Struthio camelus: one gene and its partner. The protein of the gene in region 1 interacts with the protein of each later gene in a biochemical or structural test. Links are inferred from orthologs where the notes say so. Each region holds a gene or a part of one and is shown in the gene's direction. Other genes may lie near its edges. The genes, in order: CD244 and SH2D1A.

The links.
Region 2: the proteins of CD244 (region 1) and SH2D1A interact in a biophysical measurement, tested with the Homo sapiens proteins (2 studies listed by IntAct). The link is inferred for Struthio camelus from reciprocal best matches to the Homo sapiens genes CD244 and SH2D1A.

Annotation. Positions count from the first base shown.
Region 1 is NC_090971.1:5,240,037-5,248,902, reverse strand, and holds the start of CD244 (natural killer cell receptor 2B4), read left to right. Parts: upstream 1-5,321; 5' UTR 5,322-5,424; coding exon 5,425-5,512; intron 5,513-7,794; coding exon 7,795-8,106; intron 8,107-8,177; coding exon 8,178-8,447; intron 8,448-8,697; coding exon 8,698-8,799; intron 8,800-8,866. UniProt on the Homo sapiens protein: Heterophilic receptor of the signaling lymphocytic activation molecule (SLAM) family; its ligand is CD48.
Region 2 is NC_090952.1:10,914,718-10,924,087, reverse strand, and holds the start of SH2D1A (SH2 domain-containing protein 1A), read left to right. Parts: upstream 1-5,214; 5' UTR 5,215-5,325; intron 5,326-9,370.

The DNA of each region.
Region 1 (8,866 bases):
AGAGGGCGACGAGCGGAGAAAACAGTTCATCTCTGCTGTGGAAATCAAATGCATGGGAGGCACTGGTGCAGGTGGGAAGGATTTCCTCGGCCGGCAGCACCAAAAGCCACCTGCGGCCAACATGCAGGGCCTGAGGAGGATAAAGCTCCTCCTGCCTCAGAAAATGCTGCTCTTCCTTCATTGCTCTCTTTCTGGAGAAATCAGGCTCAAATACATGGTCCTGCTGCCCGTGCGGGCCACCTTCACCAGCATCGCTCCAAAACACAGCAGCTTAACCAAAGTGGCCCCGAAAGCGGCTTGCGCTAAGCCGGCCGCCTCGGGGCTGCGGTGGATTAAGGAGCAGCCCCGGCAGCGGCCGGCAAAACTCCTCATGGGGACGGAGCGCATGTCCCCCTGCGGACCGCCTGCCTGGCCCTGCTGGGTGCCCCAACTGCGCTGAGCTGCCCACAAGACAACTCGGCTGAACGTCCCTTAAGCCGTCCTGATCTCCTCCCATTAACCCCGCGCTGGCTCACGCGAGTTTACCTCTCTTCCCCCTGCAAACTCGCTGGCCTCCAAGATTGATTTAATTGCCTCCTTTGCAGGCAGCATCTCATCACGGGGAACTCGCTTTTTCATCATGTTATTCCGCGAGTTTGAGGCATAGTTAATGTATTATTTTAATCAGCTCTGCTCCTGGAAACGAGACAGAGGAAAGAGATTCACTGGAAGCGGCTGCAGTGGTGGCGCTAGGGAGCTGCCAGCTGCGGGTCCGGTGCTCCCCCTGCCCTGAGTTACCCTCCCTTTGTCCCCAGCGGGTCTGCGAGGGGGAAGAAATCGGGCTGGCGAGAGCCGCCCTGGTCCCCGGGTGAGTCACAGTGCTGGTAACATGTCTCCGGTGAAACACAGGACGGTGCCAAATTGCAGGAGTCCTCGGAAGGGAGGATTTAACTTGGTGGGGAGCTGGCAACGCCTGTTTGCAGGGTGGTGATTATAGAGGCAATAAAACACACAACTAGTACAGCGTGCAATACTTGGCCGCCAATAAAACACAGGTGACAAGCCCACAGCCACCCGGGGTGGCCACAGAGGGCGGCCAGGAGGTAAACGCCATCCCGCCGCAGCGAGCCACTCTGAGTCCCTCCAGCAAAGGGAAATAGTGGCGGCACCTGAACTTGTCCCCACTGGCCTGAGGGTTGCAGGCACAACCTGCCCATGGCCCCTGGCTGGCAGGTGAGCACCCTGTGCTGGCGTCCGCGTGTCAGGGCGAGGCGTCCCGCCGAAGCAGCGTCCCAACAGGGCTCCCCTTCCTAATCATCCTTATTTGCCCAGTCCTAATTCATAAATCAGCAGGAGCGAGTAATTTCCCCAGGAGAGCATTTAGATGGGAGATTGAATGAGTAATTTACTGGGAACATTAAGACGGCACCAGATAACTTATTTATGAGAACTTTTTGACGGATCTACCACTCAATAATTTATACCACGCAGCATTTAGTCAGGGTCACCAGTAAATAATTCACTTATTATAAACTACATAATTTTTTATGAGACGTTCAATTATTATCTCGCGCCAGATTCGGGGCCATGAACACGCAACCGATGACGTTCCCACCGGAGAGAAGTCCCGCACTGAGCCCAGACACTGCCGTGTGCTTGGTGCAGGGGTGGGTGCAGCACTAGAGGGATCTGGGGGACATTATGGTGGGGAGACCCAGGCCCAAGCTGGGCCCTGGCCCTGGCAGCACAGCTCCGGCCGGGACGGAGCGTGGGTGCATGCTGCCACCTCTTGGGCAGAGCCGAGCTCCGGGGCTGGCAGGATATTTTGCCTCCAATCTCTCAGTTAAGAACTGAAGCGGATGCTGGACGGGGTGGGAAGGGGCTGCACAACCAGCCTGTTTCATTGCTTGGCCTGCGGAAAGCGGATTCGAACAGGAGGCACCCAGATCCCTGCGTTTGCTTTTGCTGTTTGCAAAGGGGAAGGGTGGTGGCTTGGACCTGGGGGTGAAAGCCCCATGCAAGGGTGGTGCAAGTTTGCGGGAGCCTGCTCCCTGGCGTGCATCGGCCGTCACCTTCGCCACTCCCAGCAGCTCCCAGCTGGCCCGGCGGTGGTCGTGGGGGATGCCCGAGCAGGAGCGGTTCAGATGCGCTGGCCATTTTCCCGGCCCCTAGGTCAGGAAGGGCCCCGGGAAGGCGTCGGAGCTGGGGAAGCGGCCACGTGTCCCTGGGCCAAGCATGCCGCCACACGAGCAGCTCTGCCTGTGCAGAAACCCTGGCCCGCGGGAGCCCTCCTTGCTTTCACCTCTTGGGGGCCAAATTTAGCTGGAAGGGGAACGAGAAAGCACAGCTGATGCGCTGAATAAAAACACCCTCGCCTCTGCAATGCGGTGCTTCAAGCATGCAGCATCTTCCCTTCCTCCTCAGTGTGGTCTGCGAAACGTGGCAAACGCTTCCCTTTCATTCCCTTCCTGTTTTCTTCCTCCCTCCTTTTCTTTCCCTCCTCTGCCATGGCTCCACTCCCCGGGCCAGCAGCTGAAAGAGCGCCTGGCAGAGGGAAGCTCCCCTTAATGGAAATTGTTCCCTGTGTGTTGAACTGAGCCGCGGACAAAAGCGCTAATTAATCGGCTCAGCCCATGCTCTGAGTGGAGGTTTTCCACCTTGCAAAGTGCTGCTTTTCCTTTGTAGCCTTAATGAGTTTTTGCTCCTCTGCCCACAAGTGGTGGAAGGGGCCAGAGGAGCCTGCACAGCCCTGTCCCACTGGGACCTGCTGCAGCCGGCTCCGCAGGGATGCACCATGCCTCAGTTCCCCACTGCTGGAGGGGCCCAAGCTGTTCCCCCCGCTCTGGCCGCAGCATGTCTGTGGGCTCTGCAAGGGGGACCCCAAACGTCAGCTTTTCACCCCATATCGTGGCAAGTGCTGGCCACAAGACCAAAATCACCACTGGATCCTGCCACGTGACACCCCGAAACGGCCGCCATGGGGAAACGCCGAGCCCAAGCCTGGCCTCTCCCCTGGTGCACACAAGGGAGTGATTGTAGATGGGAAACTACCCTGAAACGTGAACGATTAACAACGAGGTACCAGCACTGCTGACGAATAATTAGTGTGTCTTTCCGCCCCAGGGGAGAAATCAGGGCAATTCATGTGTCGGCGCAGGGCAGGTAATGCGCTGGGGTTTCTCCCTTGAGGAGGTGGACGCGGCAGGGAATATATTCCCATCCCAAGTACGAATTTCAGTGAGAATACTTTCTGTTCAGTTTCTGCTCATTTCTGCTTTAGTTTCTGCTCGCCCTTCGCCTCAGAAAACCAGCTCTGGTGTTGACAGAGCAGCTGCTGGAGGGACGGAGCTGACCTGCGTCCCTCTGCTCACCCAGAGCCCAACTGCTGCTGCAGCATCTTCCGAAGACTTTAACGGGAAATTGTTCCCTTTCTGTCCATTTACAGAGCCCCTCTGCAAAGCCCTTCCCGCAAAGGCTGGAAATAGCTCCTGGTCGGGGCTGGTTGCTGCCCAGAAAGCAAGCCGCTCCTGAGCGAAACCTGGCTTCGTTCCTCAGTTTCCCCCACTGCACCCTTGCCGGAGGGGCTTCTCCAGCCCAAAGCGGCCATTTCCCAGCTGGGAGCTGCCAGGCAGGGCTGAGCAGATGACAGGGCAATAGGCTTAGAGCCAAGCCCCTAAGGTGATTAGCAGCGTCGAGGGGATTGCAGGGCAGGAGCAGACGGTGGCGGATCAGCTCAGGGGCTCGTGCCGGGCTGCGCACTCCTGCTGGCCCTCCACGCTCCTCCTTCCTTCAGCCTCACTATTCCGCAGCAGGATCATCCTGCTGGGAAGGAGGCTTCCTGGGGCAGCAGGGACTCGGGGGATGCCTGGCCTTCGGTGGCACTGTGCCCCAAAATCCCAGGTATAGAGGGAGAGAGTCAAAGCTGCGGTGAGGGGCTGAACACCCCCCGGCAGCGCCCTGACAGCCATGTCTCAGCTCACCGGCTTGCACACGTTCCCCTTGCAACTCACCTCCTCCTTCCCCTTCCCTCTGGGCTGGTGGGAAATACTTATTCCCAAATAACAATTCTGAGTTATTTTCTCCTAAAGTATTTTTGTAATCAAAGGCTAATATAAAGAGAATTACGTTTTCCAGAGGCGGAAAAGAAACTTCAACTTAGATCTCACTCACTACCCTCCAGGAGCCCTCCCGTGGCTCCTAGAGCAAGTTAAAGTGTTATGAACAGAATACTTTTTCCCAGGTTTGCAGCGTTTTCTTAAATATACATATATATTTTTTCAAAATTACTCCTTCTTAATGGCCCAGTTGAACTATTGCAGTGAAACTTTCCAGCATTCAGAAAGCAGAGTTTGGTTTCAGCTTTGGCTGCTTGGGGTTTTTCTCCTTGCCATGAGGCTTTTTCTGACCCTGCAACAAACTCTTTGTACTAGTTTGCATGAGAAAGTAAACCACACCAGAAAGGCTACCTGAGAAAAGCTTTTAAAAGCAGTTTCTAATGAGCTGCCCTGCCCAGCCCAGCCCAGCCCGAGCACCCGGTGCAGAGACTGGACACAGCTCGCCGTGCTGCGGGAGCAACTGTTCTCTGAACAGGAAAGGGAATAAGCTTGCAGTGAGACATGATGCAGCTGTGGGCGAATACTGCTGGCCTGAGGTCTGATCCTGGGAGCCCCGAGGCTGCCCGGCCCTGTGCAGCCCCCCCAGCGGGGGAGATGCTGATTTGGGGAGTACTGCACGGGGTTAGATGCTCTTCCAGCTCCAAAAGCCCCCCTGCCCCAGCCTTTCCACCTGGGATGTGCAAAGCTGGGCAGGAGTGAGGGAGATCTGGGCAACGGGGAGGAGGAGAGCGGAGGGATGCAGCTCACAGGGGGATGCTGACCAAGGAGCAGGTCCTGCGCTATAGAAACCCCCGGCTGGGTGCAGCATCCGCCCATTACCCGTGGGGGCTTTGTCTGGGACGCTGGGCTTTGAAGAGCCAAATTGTGCTAAGCCTTATCCCGTGATAGGGTTGTCCTAGCTCTTTCCCATTTGCAGGGTGACACTGCAGCCCCATGGGCATAGGGGAGATGCTCGGAAGTCACTTCCACTTTGGGGCTGTTTGGAAGCCTACAAATGCAGGTCACTGCAGGGCTTTTTTTGGGGCCTGACTTTGGGATGCTTGACGCAGCTGCGGTTCACAAATCATAAAAGCCTGCTGCAGCCTTGAGAGCATCACTCCTCCTCCTCCCAAAGCTGAGCAGTAAAGGAACAGCCCCCCCCCCCCAAAAACGCAAGCCTCCCCCCCAAACCATTTGTTCCACCACGTGGAGGATGTTGCATGAGCACAAGGGGTGCGCAGAAACCACAGGGGACAGAGGAAGCTATTGACGGACTGTCGCCGTCTCGGAGGAGCTTCTCATCTCGCCGCCTGCCCCACTGCAGGAAGCCTGCTCGCTGCCGGCGTGGAGCATGGAGCTGCCAGGCGCCAGGTGCCACCAGCCAGCACTGCCCCAGCAAGTGCTGCTCTGCTTCATGCTGCTTGCCGCCGCTGGGGAAGGTGAGGAGGAGGAAGGGGCATGATGCACGTGAGCTAGGCTGCAAAACGGGGCTCACTGCGGCACCAGGGACAAACCGGCTTGTCCCTGCAGCCAGGATGGGAGGCTCTGGCTGGGCAGTGGAGCAGGGACGTGTGGGCAGAGCTGGCTGGGTGGCTCAAGGCGCTCACAGGGACGGATGCCCAGTGGGAAGCAGCAGCCGCAGGACAACAAAGCTAGTGCTGAGGAGGGTTTTTGGCCTGTGGCGCGCTGTCTCTCTGCACCCAGCCAGGTAAACATGGCCCAGACTGTCCCAGGGCGCTGGTTCCCCTTTGCAGGCAGCGCTGCTGCCTGCTGGGTGCAGGGCCCAGGGTTTGCTCGAAATAAGCTTTCTTCCTCCTGGAGCAGCGCCCAAGAGCTGCATTCTGTCCAGACCTTCCCAGAAATGCAGCTTTTCAAAGCTAGTTTTCTCTGCTGAACAAACTCAGCACCTTTTGCCTGTGATTTCAGCTCAAAGCTGGAGCGACTGAGCCTGCAGTGGCCGGCAGCTCAGCGCCAGCTGCAAAACCTCCCCACTGACTGGCACAGTTAACCTAAGCCGTGCTGCACCGGCCCCACTGCTCGTACCAACTGCAGACAGTGAGCTACAATCACACCTTTGGACCACGGGGCAGATTTTGAGTCATTTTTTCCCTGAACTTGCACGCCCACGCCCCAGCACCTGCCTCTCTCCTTGCTGACGGTGCCGGGTGGCCGGGGTCTCCCACTGGACGCGCCACAGCTCGCCGCCACGCTTGGCCCTTCACAGGGTGCAAACTCCTACCTTGGAGACCAGCCCCAGCCAGCATATGATCGCCTCCGTGCAACAAACCTGGGCTACTTTTGTCCCTCCTGCTTTCCCATCCTGTAGGGAGGACCGGTTTGATTTTTTCCACCACAAACTTGTGCTCCTGAGCTGTTTTCTAGGGTGGAGAGGGCAGTCGAGCCTCCTGCTGAGCCACACAAGCGCCTGGGGGCAACACATCCCCCAAGAGCGCTGGGATAAAATTCGTCTGATATAACATATCTTTTGAGGCTTTGCTTCCAAATTTCCCTTTGGTTCCTCTTCTTGCAAAGAGAGGAGGCCAGGGCTCTGCCCAGGCTAGAGGAGGCACAGCCAGGATGAGCGTTCCCCAGGAAAGCGAGGATTTACCAAGGGAGAGGAGGACAACTAAACAAGTGAGACTCGGCTCCTAGTGCCTTCAAGGTGCTCACACCACCAAACAGCCCCAAAAGCAGCAGCTGTAGTTCCTCCTGCTCGAGGGTAGTCTGGTGCCAGGAGTGATGGGAAACAGCCCCAGGTGTGACCCATCAGGGCCAGAAGCCGATAAACAGCTCCTGGGGGCTAGGCCAGCTCTTTCCTTTCCTGGGGGAGCCCTGTTCTGGGCTTTCTTCTTTCCTGTGCAAAGCCCCAGCCTGCTGCAGGAAGCTGGGGCTGAGCAGAGCTCCTGGAGGCTGGAGCTTTCCCTGGAGAGGCAGCATGAGCTGGGCTGTGCCGGGGGGGGTGTGCATGGGTGGCATGCACAGGCAGCATGCATGCGCAGCATGCATGCGTATGTGGCCATGCTGTGCAAAGCTTGGGCACCCATGGTGGCTGGTGCTCACTTGGAGCTGCGTGCAGATAGGAAAAACCACAGGGCTGTGCGCACCCAGACTGGGTGGCCACTTGGGTTTATTTTAAGGGTTTTTTATCTCAGCTCTGCCAGAGCCCTTGACATCCGGGGCTGGTGTGAAAGAAGTGGGGGAGGCTCAGCATGGCTTCATGGCTTCTCAGTGGTCCAGCAGGCAACTGCCCCTCTCCTCCCTGGGCAGGGCTGGTAGGGAAGGAGCTGGGGTGCAAATGGGCCACCTGAGTGTATTATTGTAGGGTCTGCAACCCAACAGCTGGGCAGTGCAAGGGGCAGGTAGGGAGGAGAGGATGTTGCGTGCACATCCGTGCACTGTGAGGGCAGAGGATAGGGTGTGAAAGATAAGCAACTGGCTAGGGATGGTACTGTGCAGGAGCCTGGAGCCTGTTCCCAGTGGTGTTGCAAGCCCCCACCTCCTTTCTGGGGCCAAGGGGTGCCCCTGGGATGGGACAAAAGGGATAGAGATGGTGGGGCTGAGCTTGCCCAGGGGGATGCGTGTGGGGCTGCACCGGGGGAGCCAGCCTGCGGGTCTGGGGCACAGCCCTGCTCCACAGCGGGTGGCCGTGTACCCTCTGCTGGTGCCCTGGCTCCCTAATCCCCCCACTCAGCTCTTTCTCCTACTGTTTGCGAACCCCTAGGGTGCAAGGACATAGTGGCAGCTGTCGGAGGAGAGCTGTGGCTGGTGCCAGAGGAACCATCACTGCTCTGGGAAAGCATTACCTGGAGAGTGAGACTGGACAAAGGGGAGCGGCTCCGAATCCTGACAGCTAAGAGCAGCAGCGTAGAGCGGCCCCCAGTTAGTCGTTTTAGCCAGCGAGCCATCTTCCATCGGGGGACGCTCTCCCTGCAGATCAGCCTGGTCACGGAGGCAGACAGTGGTGTCTACGCTGCACACTTTGAGAACGCATCGAGCTTCGAGATTACCAGCTGCTTCTGTGTGTCAGTGCTGGGTGAGTAGTCTGGAGGCCGCGCTGCCACCGTGGTGTTGCCCCGGCCCCCCTCACCGCCTCTGTCCTTCCAGCGCCCGTCGGCCAGCCGGTGCTGGATGCGCGCGTGGTGCTCCGCGAGCACAGCTTGTGCAGCCTCTTGCTGGCCTGTGCTGTCCCCGGCACCCACAACGTCACCTACCGCTGGTCCCGTGCCAGCGCTGCCGGAGCCGTGGGGCACCAGTCCTCCCTGCAGCTGCAGCTCCGAAAGGACGCCAACCACACCGTCTACCACTGCAATGCCAGCAATGCTGTGAGCTGGGCCACGGCCAGCACTGATGTCGCAGCACTGTGCAGCCCCCCAGGTGATTTGCCCTCGGCTGTGTGAAAGGCTGGATTTTGGTCCTGGCCAAAGGGTTTTTTCCTGCCCACAGTGTGGTTTGGACACCCAGGGAGAGAGTCCCTTGCCCAAGCCCTGCTGTTGGCTCTTACCAGCCAGGTCCCTTTCCCGCACTGCAGGGTATTTGGGGGCAGTGTGATGGAGAACGTGCTTTGGAAGGGGCTCTGCCCCATATCGAAGGTTTCCCCATTTCTTCTGCCCTCGTTTCTCCCCAGGGTTGCTCCCCACTGAGCTGTGGTGGGCGCTGGCTGCAGCCCTGGGACTGGTGTTGGCCATCTCTGCAGCCCTCATCACCTGGAGGTGCCGGAGGAGGCGAGGTGAGGAGCTGTCCTGGGGTTGCTTCTCCTTTTTGGGCTGATGTGGGACAACACAGAACTTCCAATT
Region 2 (9,370 bases), on another chromosome or scaffold:
CTCCTTTTCCCTTGGGAAGCTCGTGGCCGCAGCTCGGTGGGCAGATACGGCGGGTCAGAGCGGGCCGAGTCCTGAGGCTGCAAAGAGCTGATGAAGTGAAATGTAAATGGAGCGTTTCTCTCTTGGGCGCGAAAAGGCAGCGCTGACCGCCAGGGCTGCGGCCGAGGGTGCGTGCTGCCCCGGCCCCTGGGGTCCCGCCTGGCTCGGGGGGCCGGGCTGCCCTCTTGCTGCGCGGGAGGGAGGGCTTTGCGGAGTGGGGTGGGAAAGGCAGGTGAATTCCCCGCTGGACGATCCCGGTGGAGATGCGTTGTGCTGAGCCTTGCCGCGAGGCTGGCAAGCAGGACCGAGAGCGAGCCTTTGGTCTGCCGGCGACCACGCTTGCTTTACCCCACGATAAAACCACAGCGACTGCTCGTTGCGAACTTGGGTTTTATGCTAAGGTGCCAGTATAACCTATTCCCGTGAGGCAGCAAAGACAGAAACAAGGCTTGTCTTCAGGCAGCTTGTTTCCGCTGCTTGAGCCAAATGACTGAACCACAGCAAAGGCCCAAACTTCTGGCTAGGGGTTTGCCTGAGAAAGTTGGGATGTCATGTGTAAAGTCTTTGTGTATTTTTTTTATTTGTTGATAGCTCACATATGAAATGGATGTTCTTACAGAACCGCGCGTTCCTCCCCTGCTTAACCAGCCGTTCCCGAGAACAACGCGTAAGATCGCGGCATCCGAAGGAAGTAGCAAAGATGTCCTTCTCGGCATTTGCTTGAGAAACGTGCCCTTCTTTCAGTGGTTTAGCAACAACAGAAGCTGGAGGTTTTACCCTGTTCCACTCTTGCTGTGCTTATCTTTCACGTGCTCTTGGGAGAGGTAAACGCTAAAAGCCAAAAGCAAATTGCACAGCTAATTTTTAAAAACCAATGCCAAGAACAGGGTGTGCAGCCCCACGCCGGGCTGCCCGACTTCCCGCCCTGGGGCTCTCCCTGCAGGTTTTGGGCCAGCCAAGCAGTGCCTTGGCGGGCTGCCTCCTGCCAGGTGGCCCTGCCTAAGCCCTCCCTTCCAACCCGGCGTCGTGGCACCCTCGACGGAAGCGGAGCGATGCTGCAGTGACCCAAGAAGTCGCTTTGTCTTGTGTTTCTAGGTTGATTTATCCATTAAGGACACTCACCCCACAACCTGTCTGCTGTGTGCACAGCCCTGTGCCCCGGGGAGGCCAGAGGACCTGCACAGCCTTAAGAGCAAAGTGACCAAGTCATTGGGCAAACAAGATACAAGCTGCATCAAATCTTGCTTGAGAAATCCAGCTGGTCTCTTAACGAATTGTGACTTTAAAACAAGCGTTTCAAACGAGTGAGTGGCAGTGATGACAGAGGCCGTGGAAACTGGGTAAACCTTCGATTAGTGATCACGGTAAGAGCAAGGGTTCGGCGAGTATGGTAAGAGTATACGAGCCATTGCCTGTTGTAATGCTGTATAAGCGCTCTGTGGTTTAAATGAGAGTGAATTTTACTCTTTAGCGCGTGCCAGGGAACGAGTAAATGGCTGGGGACGCCGTGGCTATGTCAACATCCGTTCAACCACCGGATGGCATTTCAAACAGCAAATCTCACTCTATTTGCACTTCCTGAATGAATTGCTCTAGGAGATGAAGCTGGCCAGTCTTGGCTGTTAGTGGATCCCGTTCGCCGTGGCCTGACGGCGAGATCGGGAGCGGAGGCGATGCAGGCGTTACAGGCGAGAGCCTTGTAACGATAGCAGTCGCTCCCCGGGACCGAGTTTTGTTTGCTCTCGACGCTTGAGCAGGATCTGGCCGCTTCGCGCGTCTCCTGGAGCGCTTGGCTGCTGTGCGCGGGCGACGTCCCCGGCCGGGCGCCCGGCGCTCTGCTGGCTCCTCTCCCGCGCGCAGACGCTCGCCGCCGCGCGAAACACCCAGCGAGGTAACAGCTGTGAACGGGAGCCTGGGGACGAACATACCACCACGTGCCGCCGGCTCTCCCCCACTTCGGCGGCACCACGGGCAGGGCGCAGGAGGGAGGTTTGGGCACACAGAGCCAGGTTTTGGCAAAGAAGTGGGACCGAAACCTGTGGTGGGGAGGGTCTTCCGACTGCGTGTCTTGCTATTTGGCCTGCAGCGGGAGATGGAGGTGCCTAAATCGCTCTCTCCAATGAAAAACCTAAACCCAGCCTGCCACTGCTTGGCGTTCAGGTGCCTCCCTGTTAAAAAAAAAAAAAAAAAAAAAGACTTTCCTAATGATTCGATATTTAAGAATATTTTGAAAGTAGCCTCCTTGTGAGCCTGAGACTTACCACTGAGCCTGCTCTTCTCCCTGGCCACAGGGCTGGGAATTACGTGGCCTGCTGCTTGGTTTTAATTTTAGTCTGACGCTTGCTTTCTAAAAGGCACGTTCTTTTGTAAAAGCTTTGAATTCTCCCTCTTCTCCCACTCCGTCGCCCCTTAATCTCTTCCTGGCCCTCATCCCCCTTGGAAAAACCGCGGCGGCCTGCGCCGGTCCTTGCTGTTGCAGGGGTGACTCGCAAACGCGCTGCAAGCAGGCGACGCTGCCGGGCCGAGCAGGTTCCCCGTTTCGGCAAGACGGGGGCCGGGGCAGGCGGGGTGGCCCGCTGCGCGGCCGCCTGTGCAGCCGGGCCGGGACCGCGCCGCCATCGCCGCCGCGGCCGCTCGCTCATGGGAGAGGGAAAGCCGCGCCGACGCCGCGGGGGTTAGCGCCGAGCTTGCCCCCCGTTTAGCCCGGGGAAAGCAACAAATACAAAGCTGCAGCGCGAACCAAGGCGCGTCAGCGCGTTGTGGCGCGGCGCCGCCCCAGCCGCCCGCCCTATTTTTCCCTTTGTTTAATTGAAGCTCAGGAAGCGTAAACTGTGACGGTTCTGCAAAAAGGAAACGGCACCACAGGTGACTTCCTCAGCAGGAGCAATTATTATATGTTTATGTTTTTTGTTGCAGCCTGTGGCTGTCGGTGTGTAACTGACGTGCAGCGTTCGACCCGGCAGCGGCTGGCGGGGGTCGTGCGGCCCGGGGCAGGCGAAGGGGCAGGCGGCGTGGAGCCGGGCACCGCGCAGAGCCCTCTGCCCGCCGGGTTTCCTCTCGCCACGCCGCCCGCCCTCGTCGGAGGGCGAGGACGTAGTTGAGCGAGGCGGTCTGATACGAGTCAGACTCCCAAGCCGTTTGCGAGGTGGCTGAGGGGGGGAGCTGGGGCGTTGAGCCTGTTGATTCGCAAACTTATAACCCGGAAAGTTAACAGGTAAAGCCAAAAAAATAAAAAAGGCAACAGCTCGCGTGCGGTTGCCTGGGACGCCTGCCGCGCGTTGCCTGCGCCGCAGCGAGCAGCAGCTCCGACTGGAGCCGGCACCTTCTCCGCTGCAGCCAGCCCGAGCTGGTCGCTTCGGTAGCTGTTACGGGAGCAGCTGAGGAGGTGGCTTTCCTTCCCCACCAAATGTAACTGCAAAACGTCCTGCGCGGGGCTGCTCCGGCCGTGTCCGCCGGGAGCCGCCAGCCTCCTGGGCCCTGGGGCGTCTCGCTGGCCCGCGGGGAGGAAGCTGCTTCTCCTCCTCGGTTTCCTCCCTTGCTGCGGCAAAGGGAATAAACGCTGGTTCCTCCCCCTCGAACGGGGCCACGCAGCAATTTCTGTTCGGCCTGGGGAAATGGGGAAAGGCTCCGGCACCTCGGTACCCGCTTGGCCCCTTGGCTCAGACTAGTGCAAGCGTCTTTTACCACATTTCCTGCCTGGGTTTCGTTAAGGGTGGCACGTTACTGCAGAGTTTTCTAGTTTTGGTATTGATGAGCCTGTATTTTCAAAATAACTAAATAAATAAATAAATGACAAGAAAAGAAAAAGAGACAAAAGGTGGCGAGGGGCTGTGGGAGCCGCCTGACCTTGGGCGCGCGTGCCAGGCTCATGAAACGGTGTTTCAGAAGCACGAGGCGGTGAGGAACGCGGGCTCGGGTCTTAGCCCAGCAGAAAGGGCCGGGTCGTCGAGCGCGCGGCCCCGCCGGGCCGTGGCAGGCGCTCCCGGCGTGCCGCGCCGGAGGGTGCCCCGTGCCGCGGAAAGGCCAGGGAAGAGCCTGGAGAAGACTGAGCTGCAGACACCGTCCTCCCGAGGAAGCGCTAAGCCCTTTAGCGAGGTAGGATTGCGTCGCCTTGCCTGAGGCTCGTGCCGGGGGAAGGCTCTCGAGGTTCGATATCTGCGTATATTCGTGTTTGCAGAGCTAACAGCCCCGCGCTCCGCAGGAGCACTGTAAATATGAGCCTTTTCTCGTCACCAGCGCTTATCTTGATTTCAGAGCGCTCTGTGGCACCCGGAGTATTTAACAGGCGCCCGGACTTTGACTAATGGTTACAGATGCCCATAAGATAGCGAGATTAGCATCTCAGCTGTCTGATTAATATGTAAATGTACCCAGTTATGTGTGAGAGCTTTAAATGAAGTAACTCTCACTTCTGCCTCCATATATCAAAGGTGTGATTGATGGAAGAAGCACTGTAGGTACCTGCTGGAAAGCATAAAAGTTGTTTTTGTCTATATTTTTCCTTTTAAAAAAAAAAAAAAGTAGACCTAAAGCTGAGATTTCCTTAGGGAGAAGAAACAACCCAGTCTGAGTTTAATCTAAACTAATCCAAATTGTTGGCCACACTCCGGCAGTATCTGTAAATTCTCGGATAGAAATAATCCATCAGGATCTTGTACAACAATCCACATGGTATCTTAAATAAACCTTCTCTTTGGCTGTAGCTTGCAGCTGACATCTACTGTAAATTATTTGATGATATTTTATATGAAAGGCTCTGGGCTGAAATGTGTGTTGTGGGAAAGGAAGGAGGCCCCAGCCCGGTGGAAGATGTTCCTTTTCTTTGCTTCCCCAGTTACATTATGCAACGCAGCTCTATTTTGCAACCTGCCTTTCGGGGAAACGGTGTGTTTTCCTGGGCTGAACAGCTCAGTAAAATAGAAATCTAGAAGCATCAAGTGATTTGTGCACCGTAAAGGGCTACGGGCTCCCTGGGAGAGGGGGAAAGGCCGCGTGCGCGGGGACGTGGGCTCCAGCCTTGGAGCCGCAGTCGTCCCCAGTCGCAGCCAGGCCTGCTTCACCGGCGCAAGGGCAGCAGCTCCCGCCAAGTACCCTCGAGAGCTGCTGGGTCGGTGGCTTAGTCTAAACGCTTCCTCAGGCGACGGCAGCGGCGAAGAGGTGAGAGGCCCTTTGCTCCTGTTGTTCCTCCAGGCAAGGTGCTTCCTGCCAGGGCCGTGCTGCGACGAGGTGACGTACCTTTTCCTCGTTGGGAGGACAACCCTTGAAACGCCACCAGAGAACACCGCTGTGAGTCAGAGCCTTCTTTCATCCTGCCCCTGAAAACCACGGCGTATGTTTCAAAATCACTTTTTGGCAAAATAAAGACCATCGCGCTGAAACCGGTGCGGGGGGAAGTTTTGCAGTGGTAGTAAAATCCAGCAAGATGCTGCCAGCTAAGCATTATATAATGTCTGCTCTCTGGGATTTGAGCTGTAAAGCTCTCGACTGCTGCAAGACCTCACAAAGATAAAATGCGCTGCAGCGCCTTGCTGTCAAAGGAGCGCAGAACACTCAAATCCCGTTATCGCTCTCCTTTGCTTCAGCCTTCTCCCCCTCGCGGGGATTTCGGGGGCCCAGGGCACGCATCATTTTCATCTCCTCTGCGTCTCTGCGGAGGATTCACGATGTGCCATCCCCTTTGCGAGACGGCCCGGCTGCTAAGAGGCGAGCTGGTAGCCCTGCTGATTAATATGATTGCTCAGCAATTCTCATTATAATGCTGCCTTGCGTTGCTGTCTGCTTATAATGGTGTCTTGTAGCTTTATCAGAGCATAATTGCTTCATCCAAAATTTTCCATGCCTTTAGCTGTTTTTTTGTTTTTCAATGGTTAGACTTCTTCTTTTTTTTTTTTTTTTAAGAACAAGGATAGGGAAAGTATGAAGTTTAGTTATTAAAAATATTTGCTGACGTTCTCTTTGTAAGTGAAAACGTTGTTTTCATCGGGATACAATGGAAGGAGGAGCAACAGCCCAGAAACGCAGCAGGTCTTAATGCTGTCAGCAGTAAAACAAGCCACCACCGCCACTGCCCCACCGTGCCCCCAGCACTTGGTGCTCAGCCCTGAGGAAAAGGCATGCTCGGGCTGTGCTGCCGGCTGGGGCAGCCCACAATGCCACGTGGCCGCGAGCCAGCTGGGACGGTGGTGCTGGAGGTCACCACCATAAGAACGTGCGTCCCTGCATGAGCACCATGTGCATCTTTGCTCTCCAAAGTCTTTTTTCTACTTTAGTGGTAATTCTACTTGTGTAATTTTCCCCCTGTTTAAGTGCAGCAGCCTGGACACACATGCTGGCATTTTAAGGATATTTTTCTTATTTTCTTCCAGTTCCTCTAATGTAGGAGAATCACCTCCTTGTAGGCACTGACGTCAAGAATGGTTTATTGTATTCTGGGTGACGTATTAATTTAAGATAATCGTTGGGCAGATGTTTAAAGCTTCCAATGCAAATCAATGCAATTAAACATGAAATAATACTTCACAATTCGTACTGAGAAATACCTTTATCTGAGGCTAATGTTTCAGAATGAAATGTTCAGCAAGTTTGCTGATGATACTAAGCTGGGGGGAGAGGCTAACACACCAGAAGACTGTGCTGCCATTCAGAGGGACCTGGACAGGCTGGAGAGCTGGGCGGAGAGGAACCTCATGAAGTTCAACAAAGGCAAGTGCAAGGTCCTGCACCTAGGCAGGAATAATCCCATGCACCAGTACAGGCTGGGGGTTGACCTGTTGGAAAGTAGCTCTGCCGAGAAGGACCTGGGAGTGCTGGTGGACAACAAGTTAAACATGAGCCAGCAGCGTGCCCTTGTGGCCAAGAAGGCCAATGGTCTCCTGGGGTGCATTAGGCAGAGTGTTGCCAGCAGGTCGAGGGAGGTGATCCTGCCCCTCTACTCAGCCCTGGTGAGGCCTCACCTGGAGTACTGTGCCCAGTTCTGGGCTCCCCAGTCCAAGAGAGACATGGCACTCCTGGAGAGAGTCCAGCGGAGGGCTACCAAGATGATTAGAGGGCTGGAGCACCTCTCCTCTGAAGAAAGACTGCAAGAGCTGGGCCTGTTCAGCCTGGAGAAGAGAAGACTGAGAGGGGATCTCATCAACGTGTGCAAGTATCTGAAGGGGGAGTGTCAAGAGGATGAGGCCAATCTCTTCTCCGTGGTGCCCAGCAACAGGACAAGAGGCAACGGGCAGAAACTGAACCACAGGAAGTTCCACCTGAACCTGAGGAAAAACTTCTTCACTGTGAGGGTGACAGAGCATTGGAACAGGTTGCCCAGAGAGGCGGTGGAGTCTCCTTCGCTGGAGATATTCAAAAGCTGTCTGGACGTGATCCTGGGAAATATGCTCTAGGTGACCCTGCTTGAGCAGGGAGGTTGGACTAGATGATCTCCAGAGGTCCCTGCCAACCTAAACGATTCTGTGATTCTGTGATTCTGTTATAGCAGAACTGTTGAGTCTCTGTTAGGCGGGTGTGAGGCTGATGGGTTTTGACCTGGGATTATAATGGGGTCACTTCTCTCCCTTGAAGTCTCATGGGCTTTCCTGACTATTCTGTTCTGCTTGCTGTTTTTGTCATAAAACACAGCCCTTCCTGCAGTGCTGGTCAAGGCTGCTTCAGCAGGAATATTGTTTATTCCTTGGGATGTGTTTTTTGGAGCCTAGTGCACTCCAACGCCCAAGTTCCCCTGCTCCCATCCTTGTTAAGGGCGAATGGCTGCTGGAGGCCAGCCCAGAGCATGAGGCAAAGCGGGTGGCACGGTGCCGCTGGAGAGGACTCCTGTGAGCGGTGCTGACACGATGAGAGGCTGACCCGTACACCCTGGGGAGAGGTTTCTCTTGTTTCTCTGCATCAGCTGAAAGAGCTCTTGACGTCAATGTCTTTGCTCCAGATTTTCATCGCCTTCCTGCGGCACGTTTTCTACTTTGCCTTCTCTTCCCAAGTTTCTGTGAAAGGCAAATCAAATGGTCGTTTGGGTTCACTGCATGTTGGTCTGTGCTTCAGCTCGAAAATGCTTAAGCGTCCATCAAGTGGAAAAAAAGTCAAAAAGTATTCATCGTCAAGAGAGATTGGGTAGAAGTACAGTAAAGGATATAGCTTTCTTCTGAAAGAAAAAACTGGTGTCATTACCTTGGCACAATAATCCCAGGGGATCTCACAATAATCACTATCAAAGGTGGGAGACACCCAGATGCAATCACTTTTTTTCTGCCTGAGAGGACTCAATTTCACGTCTCCTGTCTTTGGAGAACGCCCTCATCGTCAGACTCTGGGCTCCTCAAAGCACGAGCATTTTCCATGCTCCCCTTTCAGCCATGGTAACAGACAGGAAGAAATAAGATTAGAAAAGAATAAGGTTCCTTGTGTGAGAAGGGGACAACCTAAACTCTGGCAGGTTTAGGCAGTTCCTGGGAGAAAGGCAGCCTGAGTTCTGCTTTTTTTTTTTTTTTTTTCCTTTTTTCCCCCCCAAAAATTACTTACTTACTTTTTACCCAATGACTATTTGATGCCTTTGCAACTGAAATGCCCTCAGGGTAGACTGAACTTTAGCAATGTCAGAAAAGTTGGGCACTCCCTTGTTGAATGGTATTGTAACTCACAAAACTGATGCATATACATATATATATATATATGAAAATGTGTGTAGTCTACTCACTTTGTGGTCATGTAACAAACTATTCATGTATTAATATTTATTAATGGCTCAGATCTTAGAACCTTCTAGGGGGAGAGTGTCTAAAGTTTCAGTAGTTCATCCTGTCTGCAGGCCTCAAATACTTTGATCCTACATTACAGAAATATGCTTAAAACTTGTCCAAGGAACAGGCAGTATTTCAAAGCCTTGCTGCTTAATCTGACACCACTTTAAAACTCAACTGCCGAGTGGTGCCAGCCTATGCCTCTCTTCCCAAGGGCCCGCATGATGGTCGAGCATCACAAGTAGTCCCAGAGCAACCTTGTGTTGAGTTCCTCTTTGCTTGGCCACGTGTTTTCACCCTTTTACAGCCATAGCCAGATCTTTTATGGTAGATTTTTTTTCCTTTCAATTCTAAAGTGATTTTAAAGCCTTCTAATGACAATAAACATGCTCCTGATCTGCCACGTTCAAGCTGCAATTTATGTTGTCTCATACCAGCAGCAACTCTAGCACCTGAGGCAGGGAGAAGGGCTTTCCGCTGTCAGGCTGATGAGCAGAAATGGGTATGTGCTATTTAATTAGGAGCAGCAGCGGCTTCCCACAGAGCAGCCAGTGCATCGCCAGAAGGCAGTGTGTGCAAGATCAGCTCTGAAACGGGAG